2 linked regions of the Stegostoma tigrinum genome follow. The main gene of each other region encodes a partner of the protein of the gene in region 2 in a complex. Links are inferred from orthologs where the notes say so. Each region holds a gene or a part of one and is shown on either strand. Other genes may lie near its edges.

Region 1 (8,816 bases), on a different chromosome or scaffold from region 2:
TAGAACAGTAGGTCAGGCAATATGCACTCAGTAGCACTTTACTCATTTCTCCTGCTTGTTTGGACTCAATGCATCATAGGAATTGCTTCTGCACTTTTCCTGTGACATGTCACAAATTCACATTTTCTCTCTCTCTCACGTTTCACAATAACATTAGACTGTGAATTCCTTGCATGACACAATTAACAATATGTCAGTAACCTCATCAATTTGTATTGCTTATTTCCCAAAAAATGTCTGAGGTAGTTCTGGCAAGATCTATTTGTTAGCTGTTATTTATCTTCCGCAAAATGACCATGACTATTTCACAAATTCTCCTCCCCTAATTACCCTGTAATATAATTCATCCATCCCAGGAGAATGGCATGCCTAGGGCTTACATCAGGAAGTATCAACTCTCACAAAATCAACAAGTGAAATACATTGCTAAAAATAGTAGGCGATAACAAGTCCCTGGAATTTCTTAAATGGTTAAATGCTGCAGTAGAAAGATCATTGAGACTTGGCTTTCCGGAAAGGGAAAAACAGGGCCTTATGTTTTGAAGAATGTGAAGTTATTTTAAATGGTGAGAAACTATTAAATAGCTCAGAGGGAAGTGGTACCCTTGCACAAAGTTTTACATTTAGCAAGTAGGTTTTATCCCGAAGCATATGTGCAAACTTCATTTGCATATTTGCTGTCTTTAATCAAAAATTAATATTGTTTACATCTATTTAAAGGTTCAGTGGAAAACGGAAGCAAGTATGCTAGGCAGAACAGAATCATTTCAAATACAACTTTTCAATTTTCCCAGAGAGCCAGTCTTGGTATTGGTATTCAAAAATATTAGAAACATAACAGGCCCATTAGTAAAGACAAACTGATGTTCAAATATTTGATCTAAAGATTAACTGGTCTTTCCAAATACATTGGGAATGTTGAAAATACAGTTAGGACAAGGAGCAAAAACAGAAACTGCTGGAGAAACTCAGCACATCTAGCAGTATCTGAGGGAAGAAACTGGATTGAGTGTTTTGAGTCAAGTGACCATTCTCCAGAATCCACTAGTTCTAAAGACAGCTCACTGGACCCGAAATGTTAACTCTTCTTTCTCTCCACAGATGCTGAAAGACCTACTGAGTTTCTCTTGCAATTTCTGTTTTTGAATCAGATTTCTAGCAATCAGTAGTTCTTCATTTTAACTGAAGAGGAACAATGAGCTGCATGACTCCTTGACCCTTCTTTGCCATCCAACATGATGGTGGTTGATCTTCAGCTTCAATTCAACTCTCTCCACTGATCTCCACATGGCATTAGATTCTGAAGTCTCACCACCTCAGCCTTCAATATGCTAAACAACTGAACAACCACAGCCCTGGGGGGGGGGGGGGGGTAACAAATTCCAAAGATTTACAAACTTCCAAGTGACAGAATTCCTCATCTTAGTCTTAAACGGCTAACACCTTATCTTGCAGGTACTGTATTCTCAAGTTTCTCAGCAACCACCTGAACAAACCCTCACAATCATAAAATTTCAAATGAGATCACTTCTCATTCTTATAAACTCTCAGAAGTATAGGCAGGTTCTAATCAATCTTTCTGCACAGACTTTGATTTTTGAGTCAATGTAGTGGGGCTTCATTTCAATTCCTCTAACACACACACACACACACACCTTTCCTCAGATATGGTAATCAGACTCCAGATTCCACATATGGTTTAACAAAGCCCCATACAACTGCAGCATAACTTCACTCTCCTCACAGTATGCCATCTGTCTTCCTAACTGCGTGCTGTACATGAAACTTTGTGTGTCCCATGCAAGGCCACTGCATCTTTCTCAATTATTAACAGTAACTTATTTTTAAAAATATACTTTATTTTCCTACTAGAGAGTGAAAACCTCATTTCTCTCACATTTACTCTATCCAACGCCTTTTGCTCAGTCACAACCTAATTTATTTGCAGATTTTGTTATTTTGTTACAGCTTACTTTTCAACGTAGCTTTGTATCATCACCCGAGTTGGTCACATTACACAGTCCTTACAATCCTTGTAACATTAATGACTTGGGTGCAAACAATGACCCTTGCAAGTATTCTGTTAGTAACAGGCTGCTAACATTAAAAAAGGTGTGAAACAAATGCTGGAGCAATGTGGACAGAGTTACTGCTTCAAATCCAGCATGACTCTTCAAAGACCTTTGTAATCCTAATCGAATCTCTTTAGCCAAGGGTCTGCCCACATCAGTGTGGCATTCTAACTTGCCAGGCCTTAACTTGTGCAAAACATCTTTCCTGGAGCACGTTTTAATATCCAAGAACACTATATTCTTTGGTTGTCCTTCATTACTAACAGGACGCTTGCAAGGCTCATTGCTTTCAGCCAAGTCATTAAATGTAACATGGGCTGTAATGTCTGTGCAATATGGTCAAGTCCGATGATGCAAAGCGACATGAAAAAGTAAGCTGGAACAAGGTGACAAAATCGTCATTAACCCTGCCAGTCACATCCTTTAGACAGTTCAGTGTTTTTTTTCCCTTAAATATATGATTGACTGCACTGGCAGTTTACAAATTGGCCAGTGCTAATTTGATACCGTTTTTGGTACACATTCTGGAGAAGCAAGCTTAAATGTTTGCCGCAAACTTCGAGACAGGGATGAATGAAATGATTAATTTTAGAGTGTGCCGTCAAAACCATAGTCGTTTATCACAAAACACGTGGAAAACATGCAAACCGACCATGAAATGCCAGCCTCTCCCTGTGCTTTAATAAGTCACCTTTCCCCAGAGGGAACGGCCCTTACATTGATATGACCTTACCCAGCAGAAGCAGACGGTGCGTTTGCTTGTACTCGCGTTTCTGTTCCTTCAGGATTTTGTCGATGTATTTACTGACTTTCTTCGCCTCCCTCTCCGCCTCCTTCTCCTCCGCCCGCAGCCTGTCCCAGTTCTTGTTCTGTTTCTCGGAGGCTGCTTTCTTAGCGCCGTGTTGCCGCTCTCCGCCGTTCTGTTGCGGCTGCCAGTCGCGGAGCCTGTCCGTGTCCCTGCGCTGAGCCTGGGGCTGGTGACCATCGCGCAGCCAGTCGGAGCTCCGCGGCCGCTCCGCCGTGTCCCCCCGCTGCTGGGCTGGGGCTGGGGCCGGGGCCGGGGCCGCCGCCGCCGCCGCCGGAGGCTCCGAGTCCGGGCTGCTGGTGGACACTGACGCGATGGGGTCGCTGAACAGCCGCGGTCGCAGGCTGTAGCACATCCCCATGTTTCCACAGACACAGGCAAATACCCCCAACACAGGGCCTTGAACAAACCGCTTTGATCAGCGCTTCATCCTCACGCTTCCCAATCCCACCCACCAAAATGCAGCTGGCGCTTACTGTCCTTTATCTCCCACTCCCACAACCTCCTCCCAATTTTCCCCACCCCCCCCAAAAAAAACACAAAATATAAGGAAGAGACAGAATGGTTTAAAAACCCCAATGTTCCATTGTGCACAAGCAGATACGGCGTTCGAGACTCGTAAATCACCTGATCCCAGTGGCCAGTGGTCCACCTTACCGTAAATCCTCCAAACACACAGCCCAGCTCCTGGAACCACAGCCAAACCATTCGACCTTCTCCAACCTCATCTCCCCTCCCCAGCACTTCATTTATCTTCCCTTCAATTTCCTCCCTTTTCTCCTGGTGGACCTCGCTTGTCCTCGGGAATCATTTTTACTTGGAAGACGCACAAGTCACTGGAAGACCACACCATTTGTACTGATTTATTTACAGCCTCATGAATTCCGTGGAGGAATAACACACCGCCGTCACGATCGACATAAATATTACACCCCATGACAGAATATCTTTTGAAACTCCCCTCAAATCGCTCCGAACCCCCTTACTGTTTTTCGTAAATCATAAGCTACACCAAAGAGGAAACTGGTGCTCGAAAGGGGGAATTCTTCTGAGTGAATGATATTTTGGGTTTTAAAAATAATCATTACTTGACGGTGGAATTTCCTTCATTACTCAATCCAGCTAAAAACGGATCTCGGTGTCCTGAATACAAAAATCAAAAAGGCCTCAAGCAACAAAAGGTTTTTTTATTTCCCCCCACCAGAGAGAGAGAGAATGTAACTAGAAAATACAGGCTTTAATGTTGCTTTTGACGGGCATTTAAAACAACCAAAAAGTATAAAAAATCCGATTAGTAATCGAGCTGAAAATTACAATATGAAATACAGATGGGTAAATACTTCACAGAATGATCCTGAAATAGCGGAGCCATGTAGGTATAACATTATGCAAAACAGTCAAACATAACTGCCATTTAAAAAAATGTGCTGGAGAAACAGTTGACGTTTTACGTTCAATAGGGCTTTTCTTCGGAACCCGAAATCATATTAGACATAAAATGTTAATTCTATTTCTCGCTCTCCACAGATGCTGCCAGACCTGCTGAGATTCTCCATCATTTTCTGTCCGTATTTCAGATTTGCAGCACCTACAACATTTTGCTTTAATCAAAGATAACTGATCGTGTTTTAATTTTTTAATGAAGTCTGGACCATCAAGACCTCCTCTCGGGTGCTGTCTGACCTGCTACCTGTGTATATCCAATATGTCACATCTGCGTAAGGTTGAGGATTGGGGGGAAAGTACATTTTGGAATTTCACATATTTATCCTGGCGAGCAAGGAAGTGTTTTGTACAACTTTCAAACTTATTTAATTGGTGTAATCAATCTAGAAATCATATCAATTGCGTGAGGCAGATTATAATTTTGCAATAAGATATTTCCGACACATTTCAAGCACAACCACTTGTAGAGAAGTGCCTTAAGTTTAGACATTGTTTAATTGGTTGGGGTTACAGAAGTTTATAAAAGAGGCGTGGTATCTTTAGAAATATCATGTGACTTGTTTAGTATTTGCTATGGCACCATACTCCTGTTTGCTGTAAACACAGTTAAGTGTTGAGCCCGATTTTGCTGTTAATTCTTTTTTTCCCGTGAGGCTAATAGTGCTTGCAATTATTTGTGAATGAATCGTGCAACAAATTCAGGAGAGGGGCAGGTGTATAGCTAAATATCCAAACGAGTTTTGCTAGCGAGTCACTAGAGTTGCAAACTCACATCCAAAATATCCAAACGTTGCCCCATTCTCTGCTAGCTTTGCGACAGAAGGCAATTTTGATTCCCTGCTGTTGACATGCCATAACATTGTTTTGCATAGTCGTCACTATTAATTTCTAAACAAACCCCACCAGATATTCAGCATATAAAGCAAGGATACCGGAAAAAACCGGAGCTGAAATATCCATCCCAGCGGCACTGAAAATATTGTCTGCAATCATTAGATGGAAACACAGGTGACAAGTACAATTTAATGTAGAGAAATGTGAAGCGATACATTTTGATACAAAGAATAGGTTAGGCAATGAGATAATTGATAGAATTGAGAAGCGAGTGCAGGAACAGAAATACCTACAATGTGTGCACAAATCATTGAAGGGGACAGGACAAGTTGAGTAGGCTGTTTAAAAACGAATCTGATGAGATTTTTGACTTTGTTAATTGAGGCATGGGTATAAAAGCAAGAAAGTTGTGCCAACCAATATACAGAAGTAGGTGAGAACTTTGCAAAGTTCTTTTGAGCCACTTTTCCTCATAAGACAATCTGCTCATTCCAGATATCAACCTAGTAACCTCCTCTGAACAAGTAAAGAGATTAAATGAATCTCTAATCCTGTAACTGCCTTCTGAGGCAGAATGCCAATGTCACAAAGTCAACTTCCCCAAAGTGCAGTGGTCTCCAGGGCATTGAGTAAATATAAGGATGAGATGGACAGATTTTTAATTAGTCACAGGTTGAAGAGCTATGGGGAGGGCAGAAAAGAAGAGTTGAGGCAGAAATAACCCCACAATCATATCAAATGGCAGAGCAGGGTTGAGTGGCTGAATTGCCCACTCCTGCTACTAGTTTTTCTGTTCTAAAACCATCAAAAATGTTTTACCTAAGTTCTAATAGGGAGGCCCCGAGTTTAAAACAATGATCTGCTAGTTCTGTATCCACCTGAGAGAAACCATCCAATCTGTGCCCACTTTGTCAGCAGTGTTCAGGATCTTATACACTTCATTAACTCTCCCCTCACACTCAGCTCCAATGAAAACAATTCTCTGCTGTGCAACTTTTCCTCATAAGACAATCTACTCATTCCAGATATCAACCTAGTAACCTCCTCTGAACAAGTAATGCATTTACGTCTGTCCTTCAATAAGGAGACCAAAATTGCACACAATGGTTTCACTCGTGTCCTGTATACTTGAAGCTTAATATCCCTAATTTTATGTTTCACTCAGTCTTTCATTAGCCTTATTTACTTGCTGCACCTGCATACTAACTTTTTGTGAGAAGTATGCCAGAACACCAAATTCCTCTACACCTCAGAATTCTTGAGTAAGTCTTTAAGTCAGTCTCAGCATTTCTGTTCATCCATTCAAGATAAAGAAATTTGCGTTTTGCTGCAGCATAGATCTCACATCTGCTTCTGGGATTGTAGGCTTAGTTAAAGGTTTATCACAGTTTTTATTTTGTTGTTATTGCAGTCATTGTATTTTAATAATAAGATCTTTATTCATTTTGTTTCATCAACATTTTAAAAAATCACAATTTAAATGAGATAACAAGGTGTAGATTTGGATGAACACAGCAGGCCAAGCAGCATCAGAGGAGCAGGAAAGCTGACATTTCGGGTCTAGATACTTCTCAGAAAATTTTCTGGCATTTTCGAAGAAGGGGCTAGACCCGAAATGCCAGCTTTCCTACTCCTCTGATGCTGCTTGTCCTGCTGTGTTCATCCAGCTCTACACCTTGTTATCTAGGATTCTCCAGCATCGGCAGTCCCCACTATCTCTGAAACTTTATTTTTAAACAAGTTTTTACGCGTCACAGTGAACAGCTAAGTTTTTTTATTCTAAGTTCAGAAGTTTAAAAATTGTATACATGTTTTAGAGGGTAATTTTCATATTACGAAGGTTTTGAGGGTTTTTGTTTACATTGCAAAGGCAATTTTATTGAAAGACCAAATTTTTTTAAAATACGAAGTTGTATTTTCATTTCAAGAGTTCTACATGTGGTTGGTTCTGGAGATGATTTTTTTTCTTCAAAGAATTTATTGGAGAGAAACTTTTTTTAAATTCAGTTAATCAACTAATTGGTTGATTTTATTTAAGTTTTTTATGTTTGATATATAGATTTTCAATTTTTTCCATTTTAATATTATTTTCTGGAGGTAGTTGAAAGTAGTTTATTTTACATACAAGGTGTTATTAAAACTTTTTTTAGGCTTAATGTTATTAAGGGCATAGATGAGTGAGATGGCTAGTAGATTTAGAAAAGTTACTACATAGCAGGATCAGTCAGATAGCTAGGTAACTGTCAGGAAAGGTGAGGAGGTGGTTCAAAAGTTTCCGGTGGCTATTCCTCTATCAAGTTGATATTCAGTTTTTGGAACTGTAGAAGGAGATAGTCTCTGTGAGGAAAATGGAAAAACCAGTCAGTTATTGGACACTTGGAACAATTCTTATGTTAGGCAGTGTTTCACAAGATTTAATAGAATTATTGTTATAGTGGACTCTCCTGTCTGGAATATAGACAGAAGATTCTGTGGCAGTGAACGTTAATTTAGATTTGTAGCTTTCCTGGTGCTAAGAATAAAGGCATCTCCAAACATTTCAAGCATATTGTTAAAGGTAAGATTGAGAAGCCAGAAATTATTGTACACATTGGTCGTAATGTCATTTTTAAGGAAAAGGTTAAAGCAGGACAGAGTGAATTTATGAGTTAGGTAGAAGATTGAAAAATAGAATCTTGAAAATAGAAATTTCTGGTTTACTCCAAATGCCAAACTCAAACAAGGGAAGGAGCAAAAGGTTAAAGGTTGAAAGGCTGAAATGTTGGTGTATTGTTCAGGGACTCAGGTTTTGGACAATTAGAAATTCTTTTAGGATCGCAAAGACCTATTCAAAAAAGGATGGATCTAACCTAAACTGGAAAGGGACCAATATCTTAGCAGGTAGATATCCTCATTCCTTTAAGGAGGATTTTGTTCTGATAGTGAGGGGGAGTGGAGAAATTCTAAGTATTATTTTAAACAGAAGGATTGAAAGGGAAGGTACTGAATGTGAGGAGAGCACATCAATTGGAAATCAAAGACAAGAGAAAATCAGAATGTGCAGTAACTCTGAGGAATAAATTGCAGTTATTTCAATGCAAGGGGTCTTACAGTTAAAGCTGATTAACTCAGGGCATGTTTAAGAACATGGGATTGGAACATCATGGCTACTATAAACTTGGCTGATAGACGGATAAGACTGGCAGGTCAATTTTCCAGGGTTTAGATGCTATAGGAAGCATTGTAAAGGAGGCAAAAAAGGAGGGGGGTGGAGGCATTTTTGATTAAGAAATACATTAGCGCTGTAACTAGTGAAGATATTTCTGAAAAATCATCCAGTGAAAATATCTGGGTAGAAATTACAAATAAGAAAGAAAAGATCACTTTAATGGGATTGTACTATGGTATCCCCCCCCCCCAAATACTAAGAGAAAAATTTATAAATAAGTATATAAGGAGATCTCAGATATATGTAAGCATAACAAGATTGTAATAATGGTGGGGGAGGTGGGGGCGTTACATTTTCCAAACATTGACTTGGTCTACCATAGTGCTAAAGGTCTGGATGGTGAAGAATTTGTCAAATGTGTTCAAGAAATTTTTTTTATCAATATGTAGATGCTCTTACCAGAGAAGGAATAAGACTAGACCTTTTAGCAATAAGACAGGGCAGGTCACTG
Region 2 (9,368 bases):
AGGGTTTGAGTGATAAGGATAGACTAGGACTTTTTTTTGTCTGGAGAGTAGGGGGCTGAGGGCTGACCTTAGAAGTTAATAAAACCATGAGGGGTATAGATAAGGTAAATAATAGAGGTCTTTTCCCCAGGGTGGGGAGTCCAAAACAAGAGGACGTGGTTTTAATGTTTGGGGAGAAAGATATAAAAGAGACCTGAGGGACACAGAGGGTGATACACATATGGAACAAGGTTCCAGAGCAAGTGATTGAGGCAAGTACAATTACAACACTTAAAAAACACTGATATATCTGTCCAATTAGGAAAGGTTTTGATGGATATGGGCCAAATGCAGGCAAATTGGACTAATTCAGTTCAGGAAACCTGGTCAGCATGGATGAATTGGGCCAAAGGGTCTGTTTCTTTGCTATATGATTCTCCCTCTACTAAGTCTCATAACTCTGATCTGGTCAGAGCCTCAATGTCACAACTGCCCTCAAGACTGGCTTTCAGCCATATCTACACATTATTAAAAATTCATTTTCCACCTCCATATCATATGGCCTTGCTCCAACTCTGCTGCTGAAATATACATTCATGCCTTTTTTCGCTTCGACACCTGACTATTCCAACAAACACCTGGCCACATGTCGACATCCAACCCTCCATTAACTTGAGGTCATCTATCACTCTACTGCCCCTATCCTAAGCCCCAGTCATCTATTACCCTCTGTGGTTACTGACCTACTTTGACTTCTGCTTAAGCAAGACCTCAATTTTAAAATTTATTAGTTTCAAATTCATCATGGCCACTTCCAACTCTGCAACTTCCACCAGCCCTACAATCCTGGAAAAAGCCTTACTCACGTTATTCTGCCCTCCCAAATATTTTCAACACCATTTCTGTCTGCACCTTGAACTTCTTTGGGCCTGAACACCGGTGTTTCTTCCCTACAAGCTCCTTTACCTCTCTTTCCTTCTTTAAAATCCCTTAAACCCAAGTTTTGAGCCAGTCTTAAGCCAACTGCTTTATCCCCTCAAAGTGTCATTTTCTAATGACACTCCACATCGTAATAACATCCTAATGATGTTATCCTCCCCTTGGCTGGGTGTTTTCTTTCTGACCATGTTGTCAATCACTCTGGATATTTCACTGTGTTAAAAAAGTGACATCAATGCATGTGGTCAGAATTATTTCAATTCCAACTTTTACTTTTCTGTGACTATTTTAAGAGCTAATACAGATGAATTCAAGGATTTTCCTTTTCAAGATATACAGGTCACTAACACCTTACATTAGGTTTTAAGCATTCACAACTGCTCACAATTATTCTGGGACTGCTGAAAGAAATCAGAGCTCTTTTTGGTTAAAAGGTCATTTGAATCATTAAAGGGGGATCACAGCAAGTCAGGGACCAAGATGAGAATTAAGATGGGGAAGAAATAATCAGGTGTCTTTTCTTTATCTTGAGAAAACTGGCACGGATAAATGGGTAGACGAACAGGAGGCTGGAAGAACACAGCAAGCCAGGCAGCATCTGGTGGAAAGGAAAAGTCAACATTTCGGGTATTACCCTTCTTCAGGACTGGATGCAGGGTAGGGGGGAGCCGCAATAAAGAGGGGAGGGCATAGCAGAGTGGTGGCGATGGGCGGACTCTGGTAATGGTATGATCTGGTTGGTCAGTGGGAGGGATGAATCTGATTGGTAGCTGGAAGGCAGGGTCAGTAGGTGGGGCTGGAAAGTTTATTTGAAATCGGCAAATTCAATGTGAAGTCCTCCAAGCTGTAGGGTGCCCAGGCGAAAGAGAGAGCGTGTTGTTCTTCAAATTGGCATTCCGAGTCAATGCGACATGGGAGGATGCCAAGGATGGACATGTCAGGGGGAGGAATTGAAACAGGTGATGACCGAGCAGTTTGTCTGGCTGTTACAGGCCAGACTAAGATGCTCAGCAAAATGGTCACCTAGTCTTTGTTTGTTCTCACCAATGTAGGGAAGACCATGTCAGGAGCACTGGATGCAGGAGACCAGGTTGGAGGAGATGCAGGAGAAAGTCTGTCTTACCTGGAAGGAATGTTTAGGGCCCTGTATGGAGGTGAGGTGGGTGGTGTGTGGGCAGATGTTGTATCTTTTACAGTTACAGGGATGGCACCACATGGGTGGGAATGGTTGGTGGGAAGTGGGAAAGGGAATGGTCCTTGAGAAGGCGGGTGGGAAATCAATGCAAGGGTACTTTGCAGCCGTTCTTGCTTACGACCAGAATAACATGAACGTGATTTATCCCAATGCTAGCTTTTTCAAGTCAGGTTTGTTCTTTAACTGCAACGTTGTGTTCTATTTCTGGGGTAAAGGCCCGAGCATAATTCACGGGATGATGCCAACCACCTCTATCCAACCCCATCTCTTGCCCCGGTCCAAAATCAAAACGGAGTCTTTCCTCCTTCTGGCGGCCAGACATCCATCCGTCCGATCCTTCGCTTTCTTTAAAATAACCAGGAAACACATTCTTTTTTGCTACGGATTGCTTTGAGGCAACAACAGCGCTTTGCTTTCGACAAGCAACGACCCCTCCCCACTGCGTCGAGTTCACTTTCATTCCCCTCTGCACTTTGTAAAAGAAAGGCCGCATAATAAATCGCCTTTTGTTCAGCTCAGCCACGGATATGCTGCTGTTTAAGTTCCTTATGAAGAAGTTTGAAGAAATAACAGTTAACAGAAGCAGTTTCCTTTTTTAGTCTCCAAACCACATACTGAATTAACTCACCAGCTCCCTTTGTCTCCTCAACTCAAAGGAACTTCGCTGCTTTCACTTTTTCCTCTTCATCCCTCGCTAAGTAAAATTTTCATTAATGTCAGGTCTCACCTTCTGCACGCACTCCATTCATTTATATGTTTCCAGATTTGTTCATGTCTTCTATGAGGCTTTTTCCCCCCTCTCCCTCTTGTTTGCTCTCCCGCTTCCCCCTCCCAAAATCCTGCGTTGCACAAAGCAGCGGTGGTGTGCAATGGCGCCGGGCTGAGAGACGATCCTAGCTCACGCTGTGGGTGGTCTGCCTCTCAAAACACTAGACAAGGGGCACGCAGTCAACACAAAACGAGCAAACTTTTCCACTGCCACCCGGGAACCGGCCCGACACAGCAATCGGCCGCCCTGTTTTCCCTTTAAATATCAATTTCATACACGTTTCAAAGTTTTTTTGTGTACAAGTTTGTGAAATACGGAACCGCCCCGTTCCTCCTCCTACATTTTCTAGACAGGGTGCAGTTAAATGTAAGGTTTCAAAAACTCCTTTTTCCCCCCCACTCGGTTTCGCGAGACCGCTCTGTCCACTTCATGACTAACAACTCATTCAGCACCCAGCGAGATCAAACATTCCCGCAAGTTTCCACACCCCTTCCCGTGTTCCCAGGCACACCAATCACAGCAGGGAACCCCCATAATTTATGCTACTATGGCGGATCATTATTCACGTTTCTACGTACCCCGATTGCCGTTTCCCCACTTCAGCCTATCAAGGCGAAACTCACTTAATCCTCACCACAACATTTTTAGTTAATCGGCGACCCATTTCAGTTATTGATCGGCTGGTTTAAAGTAGGATGCAGAGAATATATAAGATTTTAGTTTATTGAGCTGACTACTTGAAGAGCGCAGTCCCTTTGCTTTGGGTTGACACATAACAACATTAAGGTGCGGGAATTCCAGGATTTCGACCCGGTGACACTGAAGGAGAGGCACAGGAATCGCTTGTAGCTGGTAGAGTTTCCGTGTATCTACTGCCCAAATGCTTCTGTGTAGAAGTGGTTGTGGGAGCTTGGAAGGTGCTAAGGATCTTCGTACTCAGAATTAGACAGCACCAAGGCAGTACCACTTTTTGAAAAGGCAAACCATAGGTTTAATCACAACATAATTTAACTGTTTTGAGACAGATCATTCTCACTAATGCAAACCAATTTGATTCAAGAAATATTTCTGTACTGGCTTAAAAATGCACTGCAGTTTATTTTAATGTTACTGTGTAAACTTGGATGACTGACATTAGTTTAAGCTTCTTGATTTTAAGATTTATTACAAACCCATTTGACTGTGTTATCATAAAATTTAAAAAATATATACTTGTAGCAGAGTACTCATTTTCAAACTGAAAGGCCGTCCACACAAAATTGTAGAATTCCTACTGTGTGGAAGCAGGCCATTCGACCTTTCGAGTCCACACTGACCGTCCAAACAGCATCCTACCCAATCCCAGTAACCCCACATTTTCCATTGCTAATCCACCTAGCCTGCACATTCCTAGACACTACTGCCAAGGCAGAGATCGACAAATTCCTGATCTCACAAGGAATCAAGGGCTATGGGGAGTGTGCAGGGAAGTGGAGTTGAAATGCCCATCAGCCATGATTTAAATGGGGGAGTGGACTTGATGGGCCAAATGGCCTTACTTCCACTCCTATGTCTTATGGTCTTACATGGTTACACACAAATTTGGGAGCGAGTTTTTCATTTCCTCATGGAAAAGGACAGAATCTGCTTATCCTTTAAAGGATTTCTCATTGTGCCAAATAATCTTATTTTGTCCTGATCTAGTGAAGGTCTCTATTCATTTTTGAATTACAAATATTGCAAAATGAGCTCTTATCGATAATGTTGCGCAAATATTTGAGACAGTTACTTTGCAACAAGATTTTATTTTGATTACTGGCTTATGAGTACATCAGCTGAATTTTCTGATCATTCTGCCTTGGAATGAGATTGCAGATTTGACATGAATATAAATTAGATATCTGTCCAATATCTACTTGATTAAACGCGAGTGTGAACTAGGTACCTGTTAAATATTGGCAAATTAAATCTTTCCTGGCTATGTAATAAATGTCATGTTGTTGGAATGACATTTAAGACCAATCAAGAAAACAAAGCATGTTACTTTATTTCCACCAGCAAAATGGCAGAAAGATCCAAGACCATGAAACTGATGCTTATAAGTGATATGATAACCTAATGGTGTGTTTGACAGTGAATACTACTGAGCTTTAATCTTACATTATACTTCCTTCATTGATTTTTGCCACTAACTAGATTAGCTTGATTGGGAAAATGTGAGGAATTGCTCCTTCAGATTTCCATTTATTGCTCAAAATAGCTCACTGCTCAACAATTTTAAGTTTATTTAAAAATAGGTCAAACTCTTGTCTTCAGCCATTTCTAAATTTTCCTTCCACAAAACAATATAAAAAGAAATGTACTTCTGAAAGACTGACAACTCATTCCAAACCTTCTAAATAATAATAAGGTGCACAACATCAGCACTCTGCCAAATAGCTTGTTTTTGAATCATGAAAATTCAGCAAAGTGTACATTCACACAAATATTTATACTTAATGGCATAAATAATAAACAGCAACTTTAAGAATGGAGCATGTGTCACAACTCTTCAAGACTCATACACAATCACTTCATCATAAGACATTTTCATCATGTGCACTAATATCTGTGCTTGGTACATTATACACATCAGGTTAATTGAATTTATACATGGCATTAAAATCACAACGTTTTCTAACAGTACCCAAAACTAACTTGTAAGACTAACAAGAGGGGCTAAGTGAGACAAAAATACTTCATTTCACTTAATAAATAGTCTTATTTATTTTAAGGTTTTGTGGTGTCACTGCAGTTAAGTTCAAGTATCATACAGCTCTTTCATAGAGCTATGAAATTAATCCCAATATCCCAATCCCTCCTCTTACAAAAGAAAACTCCTTGCAAATCTTCCATGTTTAAGTCTCTCCAGTGGGACTTGACTTTTTACTGTACTATTACAGCCAGGCAGATTGTTGTACTATCAATAAAATTAAAAGCTACTGACATGGTAATCTTATGTAAAATCAATTTTGTAGTTGTCATTCTTTATTGAACAATCATTTTAGTTGCACTATATGTCCATACCTCAGGTATATACTGGTTCTCAATATCAAAGCACATTTTCTATCTATTGACGTTAAAAGAATAATACAAATTTGGTATCCATTATTAAAATGCTGGTAGCTATAAATAGTTGCACTCACCAGCTGAGGTGAAAACTTCAGTGCAGTTCAATGTTTAGGTTACAGCCAGAGTTCTTCAATATAATAGTTTTTCCCCTCCACTTTTTTTTAAACAATCGTATTGGATCCAGTCTCAGTGTACTGATGCATATAATTGAAATAGTGCAAAGAATAGCAATTTTTAAAATCCTTATGATTGTAACTTTTCAAGTGGCCACATATTGGCTTCGAAGTACACCAGGCATGAAATGCATGCAATCCAGTTTTATCATCTGTCTTTTGAGAAAAATCAGGTTTACTGACGACAAATTGAAACATGACAAGAACATCAATGAGGGATCACAATTTGTGGAGAGGTGGAATGGAACAAGAAAATCATCGGTTGACCTCAGACAACAGTACTCAGATTTAGTATCCAATTTAGCAGGGGAGGCCAGGGTACCTAAATCTGAGCAAATTATCAGAAAAATTAGCATGAAGATTCCACAGATGTTTACGGCCTGGATTTTAATTTATCCAGAAACGCAAGGGAAACAAACAGCCTATCACCAAAACTTCCAATTTCAGCAGAGGCCCTGCTTGACAGAAACAGACTGTCTGCTGTAATTCTGGTGAAATTAGAGTTGACATACATCAACAATTCCAACGAAAACTCTGGTTAAATGATAAACAAAAAAAAACTGCACAAATTTAATGGGTCTGTTAGCATCAGTGAAAAGAGAAAGAGTTAAAATTGAGACCAATATTTTTTCTTCAGATATGAAGAAATTATTGCACTCAACAGATTAACTATATTTCTCTCTATTGATGCTGCCAGATTTGTATTTCTCCTAATCCCACCTCCTGGCATGTATTTGCTATCCATTCGGACACTCTGTTCTCTGTTCAAATCATGGCACAGCAGATGATAGAATTTTCATTCAATAAATATCCGGAATTAAGACTCTAAAAGGTGACCGTGAATCCATTGTTGATTATCAGAAAAACCCATTCCATCCACAAATGTCCTTTAGGGAAAGAAACTGCCATCCTTACCTGGTCTGGTTTACATGTGACTCCAGACCCATAGCAATGCGGCTGACTCTTAACTGCCCTCTGGGCAATTGGGGATGAGCAATAAACGCTGTCTAGTGGCGACACTCTCATCCCATAAATGATGAAAGAATGCTGTGCTTAGCAAAGGTCTTAAGTTTTATTCCTCTGCATTCCACAATGAATTTCAGGTACAACTGTCCTTCTGTTGCCTTTGCCTCCACACACATTTCCATGCACAAGAGTATCACAGACCCTTTCACCCACCACCAAGATTCTCCCTCCAGCATTTTACCGGCACTCCACCTGTTCATCATGAACTGTCGACATGAACTTGGTTGCCTCAATTTGTCTGCCCCACTCTACGTAACTTACCTATTCAAACCTCTGTCCCTCTGAACTGACTGCACTCTGTGCACTCAGACCTAACCCTAACTTTGTAATCGAGCCTGACCGCTAGGGTGGCTCTATTATTGTCTGGTGGACTGATATCTGCATTGTGGAGGATAAGCACCAGCTCTTATATCTCTTCCTATCTTCTCCTGGACCATGACCCCACAACTGAGCACCAGGCAATTGTGTCCACAATGGTCATTAATCTTATATTATCTTGGTGATCTCCCTACTCCCTGCCAAAAGCCTCTAAAGCTCATAGACCCCAACACAATACAGCCAGCTTCTACCTCCTTCCCAAAATCCACAAACAGGACTGTCTGGGCAGACCCACCATTTCTACCTGCACCTGCCCCAGAGAACTCATCTCTTCCTACACTCCAATTTTACTCCACTGGTCCAGTCCCTTCCCACTTGCATCTGCAATTCTTCTGATGCTTTAAATCTGTTTCAGAATTTCCAGTTCGCAGGTTCCAACCACCTCTTCCTTACCACGGATGTGCAAACACTCCATATCCATCCCCCATCAGGATAGTCTCTGCTTTTTCCTGGGGAAAAAAGCCTGAACTGTCCCCATCTATCATCATGCTCCTATACCCAGCTGGGTTTGTCCTCACATTGAATAACTCCTCCTTTAACTCTGTAAACTTTCTTCAGATCAAAAAAGTGTGGCCATGGGTACCAGTTATGCCTGCCTCTTTGCTGGGTACATGGAAAATTCCTTGTTACGCTCTTATTCTAGCCTCACATGCAATGCCTTCTCTAGTATATTGCTGACATCAGTGCTGCTTCCCTCTTCACGGAATTGGAAAAGTATATCAATTTTGCTTCCAACTTACACTCTGCTCTCACCTCTACCTGTCCCATCACACTCATCCCTTCCCTTCTTTGACATCCATTTCCATTTCTGGGGATAGACTAGCAATATCCATTATAAACTCCAACTCCCACAGCTACCTTGATGATACATCTTTGCACTCTGCTTCCTGTAAAGGCTCATTTCATTTTCCTAGTTCCTCCATCTCCATCACATCTGTTCCAATGCTGCCAACTTTGACAAGGGGGTCCCTGAAATATACACCTTCTTCTGAAACCCAGGATTCCCCGGCCGACAGGGTCTTCAGCCAATCCATCTCCTGCATTTCTACCCTCATGCCCTCACTTTCCTGCCACAAGAGTAATTCAGTCCCCTCATCCTCACTTACCACCCAAACAGCATCTACATCCAAAAGATCATTAGCCACCATTTCTGCCACCGCTAGACACATTCACTTCCCCTCTTAATAGTTTTCCACAGAAACCGTTCCCTCTGGCCCTCCTTGGTCCACTCCCGAATTTCCCACATCACCACAGCACCTTTCCATTCAAATCACAGAAGGTGCAACACCTGCCACTTACTTCCTCCCAAGGACCCAGACACCTTCCAGGTGAATTAGCAACTTACTTGTACTTTGTTCAATTTAATCTTCTGTATTCACTGTTCATAATGTATTCTCTTCTACGTTGAGGAGAGGAAACCACTTTGTGGAACACATACGTTCTATCCGCAAAAATGACCCTGAGCTTCTGGCTGCCTGCCATTTCAACACATCACTACGTTTCCTGGCCAACGTCATTGTCTCAGGCTTGTTACAGTGCTCCACAGAAGCTCAGCAGAATCTGGAAGAACAGTACCTCATTTTACATTGGGGGCCCCTACTGTCTTCTGGACAGTATTGAGGTCAATAATTTTAGGGCCTGAACATCATCTCCATGATCTTATCCCTACCCCCACATACCAGATCTTGTCACATGAGCTGCTACCACAACCAATCCATTGTTAGCCACAAAATAGTCCCCATCAGCAGGTGATTCTCCTAAGTGGACCATCACCTATTCCTTTGTGTCTCTCTCTCTGGGCTCCTTCTCCACCTATCAT

Evidence for each region.
Region 1: the proteins of gpr161a (region 2) and guanine nucleotide-binding protein G(olf) subunit alpha-like are in contact, whole or in part, in a cryo-EM structure (PDB 8KH4), measured with the Homo sapiens proteins. The link is inferred for Stegostoma tigrinum from reciprocal best matches to the Homo sapiens genes GPR161 and GNAL. Residues at the interface, in NP_001254539.1 of Homo sapiens: Arg125, Ala128, Val129, Leu130, Pro132, Met133, Tyr135, Pro136, Met137, Ile139, Ile211, Val214, Ala215, Lys218, Ala219, Lys267, Ala268, Thr271, Trp327, Asn328, Lys329, Arg332; in NP_001135811.1 of Homo sapiens: Ala41, His43, Lys203, Val204, Phe206, Phe363, Cys366, Arg367, Asp368, Ile370, Gln371, Arg372, His374, Leu375, Gln377, Tyr378, Glu379, Leu380, Leu381.

The regions. Positions count from the first base shown.
Region 1 is NC_081358.1:116,702,079-116,710,894, reverse strand, and holds the start of guanine nucleotide-binding protein G(olf) subunit alpha-like, read right to left. Parts: upstream 3,500-8,816; 5' UTR 3,239-3,499; coding exon 2,806-3,238; intron 1-2,805. UniProt on the Homo sapiens protein: Guanine nucleotide-binding protein (G protein) involved as transducer in olfactory signal transduction controlled by G protein-coupled receptors (GPCRs).
Region 2 is NC_081365.1:41,729,574-41,738,941, forward strand, and holds the start of gpr161a (G-protein coupled receptor 161), read right to left. Parts: upstream 3,360-9,368; 5' UTR 2,863-3,359; coding exon 2,841-2,862; exon of another isoform or gene 2,742-2,840; intron 1-2,741. UniProt on the Homo sapiens protein: Key negative regulator of Shh signaling, which promotes the processing of GLI3 into GLI3R during neural tube development.